3 linked regions of the Xenopus tropicalis genome follow. The protein of the gene in region 1 interacts with the protein of each later gene in a pairwise test. Links are inferred from orthologs where the notes say so. Each region holds a gene or a part of one and is shown in the gene's direction. Other genes may lie near its edges. The genes, in order: rundc3a, rap2a and rap2b.

The links.
Region 2: the proteins of rundc3a (region 1) and rap2a interact in binary tests that used the Homo sapiens proteins (3 or more experiments, as listed by UniProt). The link is inferred for Xenopus tropicalis from reciprocal best matches to the Homo sapiens genes RUNDC3A and RAP2A.
Region 3: the proteins of rundc3a (region 1) and rap2b interact in binary tests that used the Homo sapiens proteins (3 or more experiments, as listed by UniProt). The two-hybrid records come from large-scale screens. The link is inferred for Xenopus tropicalis from reciprocal best matches to the Homo sapiens genes RUNDC3A and RAP2B.

The regions. Positions count from the first base shown.
Region 1 is NC_030686.2:18,580,364-18,583,963, forward strand, and holds the start of rundc3a (RUN domain-containing protein 3A), read left to right. Parts: upstream 1-1,061; 5' UTR 1,062-1,307; coding exon 1,308-1,414; intron 1,415-2,828; coding exon 2,829-2,944; intron 2,945-3,068; coding exon 3,069-3,202; intron 3,203-3,600. UniProt on the Homo sapiens protein: May act as an effector of RAP2A in neuronal cells.
Region 2 is NC_030678.2:121,611,974-121,615,769, reverse strand, and holds the start of rap2a (ras-related protein Rap-2a), read left to right. Parts: upstream 1-906; 5' UTR 907-1,013; coding exon 1,014-1,327; intron 1,328-3,796. UniProt on the Homo sapiens protein: Small GTP-binding protein which cycles between a GDP-bound inactive and a GTP-bound active form. In its active form interacts with and regulates several effectors including MAP4K4, MINK1 and TNIK.
Region 3 is NC_030681.2:117,180,436-117,184,266, reverse strand, and holds rap2b (ras-related protein Rap-2b), read left to right. Parts: upstream 1-1,446; 5' UTR 1,447-1,557; coding exon 1,558-2,106; 3' UTR 2,107-3,712; downstream 3,713-3,831. UniProt on the Homo sapiens protein: Small GTP-binding protein which cycles between a GDP-bound inactive and a GTP-bound active form. Involved in EGFR and CHRM3 signaling pathways through stimulation of PLCE1.

The DNA.
Region 1 (3,600 bases):
TCCTTCTATTGCTCCATATACCCCCTCCCTATAACTCCTTCTATTGCTCCATATATCCTCTCCCTATAATTCCTGCTATTGCTCCATATAACCCTCCCTATAACTCCTCCTATTACTCCATATAACCCTCTCTATAACTCTTCATATTGCTCCATATACCCCCTCCCTATAACTCCTTCTATTGCTCCATATATCCTCTCCCTATAATTCCTGCTATTGCTCCATATAACCCTCCCTATAACTCCTCCTATTACTCCATATAACCCTCTCTATAACTCTTCATATTGCTCCATATACCCCCTCCCTATAACTCCTTCTATTGCTCCATATAACCCTCCCTATAACTCCTCCTATTACTCCATATAACCCTCTCTATAACTCTTCATATTGCTCCATATACCCCCTCCCTATAACTCCTCCTATTGTTCCATATAACCCTCCCTATAACTCCTCCTATTGTTCCATATAACCCTCCCTATAACTCCTTCTATTGCTCCATATAACCCTCCCTATAACTCCTCCTATTGTTCCATATAACCCTCCCTATAACTCCTTCTATTGCTCCATATAACCCTCCCTATAACTCCTCCTATTGCTCCATATAACCCTCCCTATAACTCCTCCTATTGCTCCATATACCCCCTCCCTATAACTCCTTCTATTGCTCCATATATCCTCTCCCTATAATTCCTGCTATTGCTCCATATAACCCTGCCTATAACTCCTCCGATTGCTCCATATAACCCTCCCTATAACTGCTTCTATTGCTCCATATAACCCCTCCCTATAACTCCTCCTATTGCTCCATATTACCCTCCTTATAACTCCTCCTAAAGGACAACTGTATTAATTTCCTATTTTTTGCAAACGTACAGGGGAGGAGAGATAATGAAGCAGTAAAATAAGGAGAAGCTCCATATATGTTGATAGTATAAAGGCAGCTGAATAGGATATAAAGCCTCAGGGGTCCCCTTGACTTCACATCCTCTTTCCCTCCCTCCCTATCCGGAGCCGCTTCTCTCTCACTCCTCTCCCCCCGCCCCCCCAGCCGCTCGTTCCGGCCCTGTGACGTCACTTCTCCAGCTTCAGCACCAAGGACAGCAGCCTCTCCCCTGCGCTCCATCCTTCGGCCGCTCTATTCTCCCTGGGCCGCTCTCCTCACAAGAGGGGGACAGGCAGCCTGGAGGCCAGCGAGAGGAGGCGGGGAGGGGACCTGGGTGGAAGGGGAAAGCTGCAGCCCTGCTGGTGGTGGCGGAGGAGGAGTGGAGGGATCATTTGGGGAGGGGGGCCAGAATCCTGTGCTGTGGATGGAACCGAGCTTTATCCAGTCGGCCATGGCTCTGGGACTGCCATCTAAGAAGGCCTCCTCCAGGAACATTGCTGTGGAGAGAAAGAACCTACTGACTGTGTGCAGGTGGGACGGGGGTGTCTTGGCTTTACAAGGCATTGAGGGAATAATGGGGGCAACGAAAATCTGAAGGGGGTGAGAAGATATGGTTAAAAGATATGGTTTGTATGTAACATTGCAGGGTGGGTAGAGGAATAAATATGAGTTAAATGATTTAAAATAATTCAGCTCTGGCACCTATAGGGTCAATTTTATGTCAGGGCAGAAATCCATTTATTATGGGCTCCAATTCATTAGTATGGCCCTAACCTGAAAGGGGCCTTGGTGTCAGCAAAGCCTGCCTGCTATTGTGTCCAGTAATTGTATCCTAATCTTTATTATTTGGGCCCTTAACCCTTTATAGTGGCCAGGGCCCCCCCTTGTCTGACTCCAGTGGTTTGGCTATTGTTTGGCTCTCGGGAGACAGGGACAGACATGGGCAGAAGACAGCGGGTCAGGTGACCTAAGATAGCCATGCTGGTTAGGTGCCTTTGGGATTTCCTGTGAGTCAAACACATATACAGTGTCACCTCAGTACAGAACATGAACAGAAAGTAACAGAAACACAGCATTTGCATGTATTTGTTATAAAAGAGTTCCAATCAGCATCCTTCTGGCTGCTGTTGAACTACAACTCCCATCACCCCCTTGCTAGCCATCTTACACAATGCATGTGCAGTACATATAACATGCAAGGACAAATGTAACCTTTATCATGGATAGCCAACTAGTGACTTTCCAGTCATTGAACAAACTTTGGCATCCCACCTACAGTTATCTTTCACAGCCCAGCCCATGTACAATATATGCACATGTATATAAAACATGGTATTTTAGAGATGTTCATTGAGTATTTCTCTAGACTACAACTACAGTATCTACAGTATCTGCTGTCAGAGAGAACCAGAAATGTAGTTTTGCAACAGCTGGAGGTATACAGGTTGGACACCCCTGGTTATTCTTTCCTAAGCTGGAAAGGACTACAGAAAATGGCCTACTGATGAAAACAATTAGAACAGCGAAAAGGATGGGAATACATGCTTGGGTCATACATGTTTTAGCACATAATGGAAGGGTGTCTTTATGGCTTATTTTATGTCCACGCAGTCATCAAGAGAAGCAGAGAGCAGCACAAGCAACACAATGAATCATATCCCGTGACTTCACTTTCCCATTTCTCTTTTATCATCCATCTCCCTTAGCTAGAGCCAAGCTGTGCTGTTCTATTTCTGTGACCTAGCCTACATTCCTTGCCATCTCCTTTCCTGTACTGCCCAATGCTTTCTCAGACCTTCACTGCTCTTTCCTCAGCTTCTTGCTGACATTTTCATTTACCTTTTTACACTCCATTGTTCTGTCCTGTCTCATCTCCTGCTCCCATATATTCTTTTGTACCCCTCTCAGTGCTTACTCTCTCTTTTGTCCCCTTCTGCCTCCCCAGGTTCTCTGTGAAGACCCTGCTGGAGAAATACACAGCGGAGCCCATTGATGATTCGTCGGAGGAGTTTGTGAACTTTGCTGCTATTTTGGAGCACATCCTAAGCCATCGCTTCAAAGGTCATACAAAAAATATTAGTGGTCAATACCCCTATGGCAACCAAATGTCCAGGCCAAGCTATATAATTGAAACTTGCCCATTCCTCCCAATCTGACCGGTTTCTTTCTTTCTTTCTTGCTCCAGGTCATGTCAGCTGGTTTAGCACAGATGGCCAGAGAGGATTCTGGGATTATATTCGCATTGCCTGCAGCAAAGTCACAAACAACTGCATTAGCAGCATTGAAAATATGGAGAACATTAGCAGTGCCAGGGCAAAGGTCAGCTTTGGTGGGACAGCCTTGGGATGAGGCTTCAGGCAATTTTACTGGGTCACTTAGCATAGGATATATAGGATATTGAGGGGTTAAAGGGGAACTCCATCAAAACACAATTTGAGCTTTTTGAAGTAAACATAATTTCAGCAAATTTGCAGCATACATCAATTAAAAAATATGCAGCCTTTTCATTATTTTTAAAGTAAAAATATGGTTTGGAACAGTTCCCTAAGCTGGGCCCCCTGTTCCCCTGCTGGTCTGGCTGACTGCTATGAGACTCAAATAAAATGTAACAGTTGTCGACCTTCCTCCCAGCCTGCATCCTCCAAATCCCACAATCCCCTGCACACGTGATGTCAATAAGGAAAGGAACATCACAGTGCAATGCATTGTGGGTTATG
Region 2 (3,796 bases), on another chromosome or scaffold:
CCTGAGAGGAAAGAGGAGTCGCAGGGAGTTGCTAATATTACAGTACAAGGTACTACTAAACAACCTGTTGCTTAAAAAGTCTGCAGGGATTTACGGAATAAAGGAATGACATACAAGTATATATATAAATGGAGAGTTAATATTTCTACGTTTAATGCAATATGTTCTCATATTATACATTGCATAGAGCAGTGGTCCCCAACCAGTGGCCCATGAGTAACATGTTGCTCACCAACCCCTTGGATGTTGCTCCCCGTGGCCTCAACGCAGGTGCTCGTTTCTGAATTTCTGGTAAGGAGGCAAGTTTTGGTTGCATAAAAACCAAGTATAATGCCAAACAGAGCTTTCTGTAGGCTGCCAGTCCACATAGGGGCTATTAAGTAGCCAATTATAGCTCTTTATTGGCACCCCCAGGAACTTTTTTAATGCTTGTGTTGCTCCCCAAAACTTTTTCCATTTAAATGCGGCTCACAAATATAAAAGGTTGCGGATCCCTGGCATAGAGAGACTCATAGGACGGGCAGCGGATCTTTATTTCAAACCCATTTTCAGCACTGGTCTCTTTCTATTGGCTTGTGAGTATGACGCCAAGGTCATACTCCACTCTGATTGGCTGCCGCTGAGGACCGAGCGATGGCTTTTTTTCCTCACAGCATCCTGATAAAAGAAGGCGGATTTGGTGATGCCAGTCCCGTTCTCCTCCCTGTGTTCCTGAGGACCGGTAGTTGCTAAGGCGACAGGTGAAGGAGCCAATGGTAGAGAGGCGAGGGCCATGACGAGCAAAGTGGGCGTAGAGCACTGGCAGAGCGGGGAGTGGGTAGTTAGAGGCCGACGCGAGTCACTGGGGGGCGAATGAGCGAATAACAGCCGCTCCGGGAGAGGGGAGCTCCGGGCACCGGGCCCACGTAGCCCGGCCTTTTTCCCATGTCTCGTAAAGCCGCTGCAGAGGAGGGGCGGCGAGGACGGAGGGGGAGGCGGAGAAGCGGTGCGCTGTGAGGGAGCGGAGGGGGACGATGCGTGAGTATAAGGTGGTGGTCCTGGGAAGCGGCGGGGTCGGCAAGTCGGCCTTGACCGTGCAATTTGTCACAGGGACATTCATCGAGAAGTACGACCCGACCATTGAGGATTTCTACCGCAAGGAGATAGAGGTAGACTCGTCCCCCTCCGTGCTGGAGATCCTGGACACGGCCGGTACCGAGCAGTTCGCCTCTATGCGGGACTTGTACATCAAGAACGGGCAGGGCTTCATCCTAGTGTACAGCATGGTGAACCAGCAGAGCTTCCAGGATATCAAGCCCATGAGGGACCAGATCATCCGCGTCAAAAGGCAAGCGGGGGGGGGGGGGGGAGTAGGGTTGGACGCGGCCCTCCAGCTGTTCAACTACAACTCTCACATTCCGCTGCCAGCTTGGCATTGCCGTACAGCACAGGTGTGGGGCCGCGGCTCTGCATCATTTACTGCACAGAACAAAGGGGGCCCTTAGTCTCTAGTTACTTTTGTTCAACCTGCCAGTAAACTGCCCCCCTGTCTCCAGCCAAGCCGCCTCTCATTGGCTCCTGTGCAGCTCATTGTCCTGTTGCCCTGTTAGTGCCCATTGGGGCAGGCTGGGGTAGAGCCTTCTGCTGTGGCTGCTCCCCTATTGCATCCTTCATTTATTTCTTTTCTTTGTTTGTCTGCCCAGTCCAGCTTTTGTACATGTAATGCTTTATATTATAGATTGGAAACAGAATATTGGTCCCTGCAGTATGACTGACATAGATATTTAATATGTCTGGGTCTTTCCCCATAGTCTCTCTGTTACAGCAGGGAACAATGAGGCTCCTCAGAGGAATCTCAGACACTGGCAGAATTGCAGAGCTTTTTGCTTGATGGCTTTGCTGCACAGTGGAGCCTCAGGGTATTCATATATATATATATATATAAACACAACACATGCTGCTCCCTACTGTCATTCTACTGAGTCATCATGTATCATATATGAACTTGCCTTTAAATAAACATGCACATATGCTCTACTGACCTTATGTAAAGGGATTGAAAGGCACTGAAACCCTCAGCCAAAAGCATCTTAATTACATATGAACATAACAAGCATCTGTGAATATCCTGCCATTATCATCTAAGTCTGTGGCTGTACACAAATTGTCTACATCTGGATAGGCTTTCTATTTAATGGCATGATTTAGTGAAAACCTCTGTGCATGTATACACAAGAGAAGTGTATAATATATATATATATATATATATATATATATATATATATATATATATATATATAGTACAAGTTGTTTTAGACACAAATTGCTACACTAGTAGCACCAGAAAAAACAATGCAAAAATGTGTGAAATACCATCAGTCATGGTTAATACACTTTATATTGGCGATTAAATGAGTTAGAAGTAAATATATGACATTTAAGTTATAAAATATATATATATATATATATATATATATATATATATGCTTGAAACGATCATGCTGTGATATAAAGCAGTCATGCTGTGACCATTAAAGACTATAGATAGGGCGGGTAGACTTGATCTATCCTACCTGTTGTGGGATACCAGCAGATCCAATTCAACAGTGCAGCTTTGGTCCACAAGTTGTGCCTCATTGAATTCATTTATATCTAAGTAGTTGTTAGAAACAGTTTTTCATGAGTATCCAAAGGGCTACAGTGGTACATGGGTTTTTTCATGTTGGCTTTGAGCTTATGGGTATTGGTGAGCTATTTTCCTTCTGTATATTAATGCCATGGGTTGGTGCATGACCATTAACACTAGCTTGCCTACTTGGGCACTTCGGGATTCAGTTTTGATGAAAAAATCAAAAGGCAAAAATCAAAACTTCAGTAGGGTAAAAACTGTAGTGATAGTTGTTTGGCCCACAGGTACAAGTGTTATGATTCCCACTGTAAGCTGAAAAGCAAGCAACAAAATGGTTAGGATAGCCATTGCTCTTAGACCTGTAGCTCATCGGGTTCATTTCATTCTTATACAGTCTGGTTTTGATTCACTAATTTCAATTTTACACAGTGTGTCATCCTCCATTCTCAAACCTGACTACCCATACAATAAAGTAGCTCTTTCTTTGTTGATAGTGGAACTGTGCTTCTTTTCCCTGAATGAATTCCTAGTTATGAAACAGCTTTGTGTCAGCCTCCGATAGTTTGGTGTCTACTAGAATTGTTTAATCCCTTTTCAGTTTAATATCTCCCCAAATGTCTATTATTTAAAGTATAATTATTATAATACTTCCCATAATATGTAGCTATAAAGAACACCAGTGCATTTTCTCTATGTGATGAGGAATGCTGGCCTGAAGAAAAAAAAAATCCATTACTCCAAAGTCCAGTGGTGCGAAGTCACACGGGGCAATTAGTGGCTGCAACTTTTTAAAAAGTTGCAGTGACTAATTGCCCTGCTGCAAATGACACGCAATTAGTCACATCTATAGCAGTTCAATTTCTGCAATTAGTCGCCACTACTGAGTTTTTTTTTAAATTGCGGTGACTAATTGCCCCCTGTGTCTTCACCATGAATTGTGATTATAAACTTGTGTGCGGCGGCTCAACCATAATAATCCATTACTCGCAACACTTTTGTCCAGACATTGCTTCCAGTGACTAGTTGGAACTCTACTGTAGTGTGTGTTCCAACTGAGGATATCTCATTCTCATTTTAAATATGACTATGAAGATTTTAATTCATCCAGGTCATGGTATATCTAGTATAAGTAATCTAGAGCAACTGGACTTGCTAAGACGTTTCACTACTCATCCTAGCAGCGTCTTC
Region 3 (3,831 bases), on another chromosome or scaffold:
TCACATCTGAACTTAACTTTGTAAAGTGCAAATTCACTGCCTCAGCTGACACAGGCTGTTGTGCGTTCCCATTGGTCAAGCATGCAGTTCACAAGAGGAGGCCACAGCAATGTCGAGCCAACCAAGTGCAAGGAGTGGCTTTAGATGGAAGTACCTTTTAAATGTAATTGAATGGCCAACTGAATGCATAAAACAGATACTTCAGCTGGATCATACCACAGCCTGGCACATGGACCATTTTGCCCACACTTTACATTCAATCATATTAGGAGTGATGGCAGTTGCACAGCAGTATTTGTTGGCAGCAAAGGATAAAATATCCAGTGTACGACACAAAGAGAAATCGTCCGTGTTCGGTCTAACCCACCCTATAGCGTTAACCAGCTGCTATTTGTGACTGCGTTTGGAATCACCTATGCTCGGGAGTTGACCAGCTACTACAAAATATAAGAAGCCATCATTTGCACACACAAAAGAGAATAACATTGCCAGCACTCAAATTCAGCCTGTGTGAATCCCTATATATACAATTTAGTAAAATCTGAGGTGTTTGTACCACATTTTGGACAAAATATGTAAGGTCACATGTTACAACTTCTCATTTAACTCGAGTCCTTCACTTTTTTTCCTCTTTTGTGTCGGCAGAAAACACCCAGTGTTCCTCTGGCCTAACCTGTTGCAAATTAAAGCGAAATGTGAGTTGATTCTGATGACTGGTTGTTATAAAGTTAGTATAAGCAGTTATTATAACATTAAACATCAGCCATAGTACCACTGCAGGCCTGGGAATACCAGAAAGGCTTTTGTGAGCTGCCACAGACTGGAGCTTTATCTTGGCCTTGTAGTGGCTGTTTGGGCTTCTCTGTACTAGAAATACCAGGGCCAATACCAGGTTGTTAGAGATAAGCAATAATACTCATGGATGGCCAACCCACAACCCTCCTATCGCTATCCTACAGCTCCCAGCATGCTTAGTACACACCTACATAGTATAGCATACAAGTACACGGCTATATTTTCCCCTGTGAGCGCAGATATACTGAGTTGCCAAAATATTTTTGGAAACTATTAATCGCAGAAAAAGGACTGATCTACCAAGTCCCACTAGGTTGCCAAGGGATGCCGGCCGCTGGGAGTAGCAGTTGCACAAGACCTACACAGCCAGTTTCGGAGATCCCTGCCTTAGTGAATGAGTCACGCCTGACTAATGAAAATACTTTCTCTGCGGCTATACAGCCGAACCAACCAAAGGGGCGCTATTATCGACCAATCAGAGCCAAGAGACGCATCAGCCAATGGGCAAGAGGCAGTTACAAAAAATGCAAGTGTAATTCAAGATAAGTACAGTGTGGGCTGCCAGGGAAGGGAATGGAGAGGAGCGCAGCCTGAGAGAGGGAGCTGCAGGGCCGGTCCCTTACTAGAAGCAACACATACACCCGGGGACTCCCGGTGGCTCCCCCCGCCCCGGAGCTTTATATGCAGGGGAACCGATGAAGTGAAAGCCGCGCTTCTCCCAGCAGCGGAGCTACAGGCGGGCGGCAGCAGGAGGCGAGAGCCATGCGGGAATACAAAGTAGTTGTCCTTGGATCGGGCGGGGTGGGGAAGTCGGCTCTGACCGTGCAGTTTGTCACCGGATCGTTCATAGAGAAATACGACCCCACCATAGAGGACTTTTACCGGAAGGAGATCGAAGTGGATTCGTCGCCCTCTGTGCTGGAGATCCTGGACACTGCAGGCACCGAACAGTTCGCTTCCATGAGAGACTTGTACATTAAGAACGGCCAGGGCTTTATCCTGGTCTACAGCCTGGTGAACCAGCAGAGCTTCCAGGACATCAAGCCCATGAGGGACCAGATCATCCGGGTGAAACGGTACGAGAAAGTGCCCATGATTCTAGTCGGGAACAAAGTGGATCTGGAAGGCGAGAGGGAAGTGTCCTACGGGGAAGGGAAAGCCCTGGCGGATGAATGGAACTGCCCCTTCATGGAAACTTCAGCCAAACATAAAGGCTCCGTGGATGAACTGTTTGCCGAGATCGTCAGGCAGATGAACTACGCGTCCCAGCCCAACGGGGATGATCGCTGCTGCTCCTGTGTCATTCTCTGAGCCCCGGTGCTACATTGACTCCCACTGCCTGGCAGCACAGGGGCGTGTTTGTCCTGGGGATGTCATCTGCTCATCAAGTGGCTAGCATACAGTATGTGGGGGGCTCTAATGGGTCTTGTCTATTCCATGTGCCCAGGGCTCTGCGGGCAAAACACTGAAGCTTTGGCCAACACGAAAAGGAGATACATTGGAGATGCCTCAGCACGTACCAATGCCCTGTTTGCAGACAGACATGGACAGACCTACCCTTTGGGGTGCAGTTAGGAGGGCTGCCTATTGGGGGCCCTGCTGAGTACAAGGGTTTGGGAGGAATTGGGAGGAGAAGGCCCATAATTGTACCTCTTAGACTGTTCATGCAGCACCTGTAGCAGCATGGAGAAGGATCACCTGAGGAATGGAGTATAACTGTGGTATAGAGGGGTAAATAGAAACACCAGAACTATCCAACTTCTGGCCTTTCAGCTACTTCCAAACTGCAACGCCCAGCATCCTCTGAACATTAAAGGCTGCCTGGGGTTGCTAGGGGTTGTTGTTGAGAAACAGCTGCATGGCCACAAGTTGGTAAGCCCTGCTTACTACAGGGGATGGGGCCTCCTATTGAGTGGTTGATCTTGGGCCCCACCTCCACTAATAAAAGGCCTGGAAATGGGTGAGTGCATGAAGGGACCTACTCCTTAAATCAAGCCTTATCTAAGTTCTGAAAGGCACACAGAAATATCCAAATGGAATGGAGTCTCTCCCCACTCCCAGACTTGCAGTTCACCTGCTGACTTTCATTTTAGGTATCTATGCAAAGTTGGATGATTGTTACAGAGTATACATTCAGAAGTATTGCACATCTAAAATGAGATAAAAGATGCCAACATGGCTTGGGCGCCCAATGTGGCCTCCTAGCTGGTATGTGTGTTTGTGTGTGTGTGTGTATGAAATCTATTTTGTTTACCTGCTGTATCATATGGGGATCTGGGAAGATTATTAGTATTTTTTCTTATCAGCTGTGAAAGTGTTACAGATGTTTATGTTTTATGTGTGCTGGCAATAACTGATTTTTGATGCTTAGCTATTTAATATACAGTGAATTGACTTAATTGTGAGCCAGGGTCAATAGTGCCCTGTGTCCTTAGAGTGCCTTCAAAATTCAGCTGTTCCAGCCGGTGCCAACCTGTGAAAATCCTCAACAAAATCTCATTATCTTCTATTCTGAAAACTACTTAACAGTTTCCTCTCAGTAATCACACTGAACAAGCGTAGACAAAGGAATCTATTGTCCCTGGAACCTATTTCTGAGCCTGTTATTGTAATTTCCATGTCTTGCACATTTTTTGGAGGGGATGGCGATTAACCTTTTCTGTGTCCAGCAGACCATGCCAGCAAGAATGTAGAGTGGCACAGGAAGAGTCTTTAAGCATTTGTTTTAGTACGTGTTACGCCCCTCTTTCTGTTCTTACTATACCAGCAGTGGCTAACATTGCAAATCAGCCAGAGATGACAAATTGTGATGTACCAAGACCGTTAACATGTGTTATTTTATTTTCTGGACAGGCTCTGAAAAAGCCCGTCTCTTCTGTTTTAAACTGAGTTCAATACAAAATCCTTTGTGACATCATACGGTGTGTCTTCTTTTTATTTGGCAGTTAAAAGTAAGGGTAATTTAAATCCTTTAACGTGTATTATTCCCATTCAGTGCGCATGGTACTCCCCTATTAAGCAATGTAATTACATTGA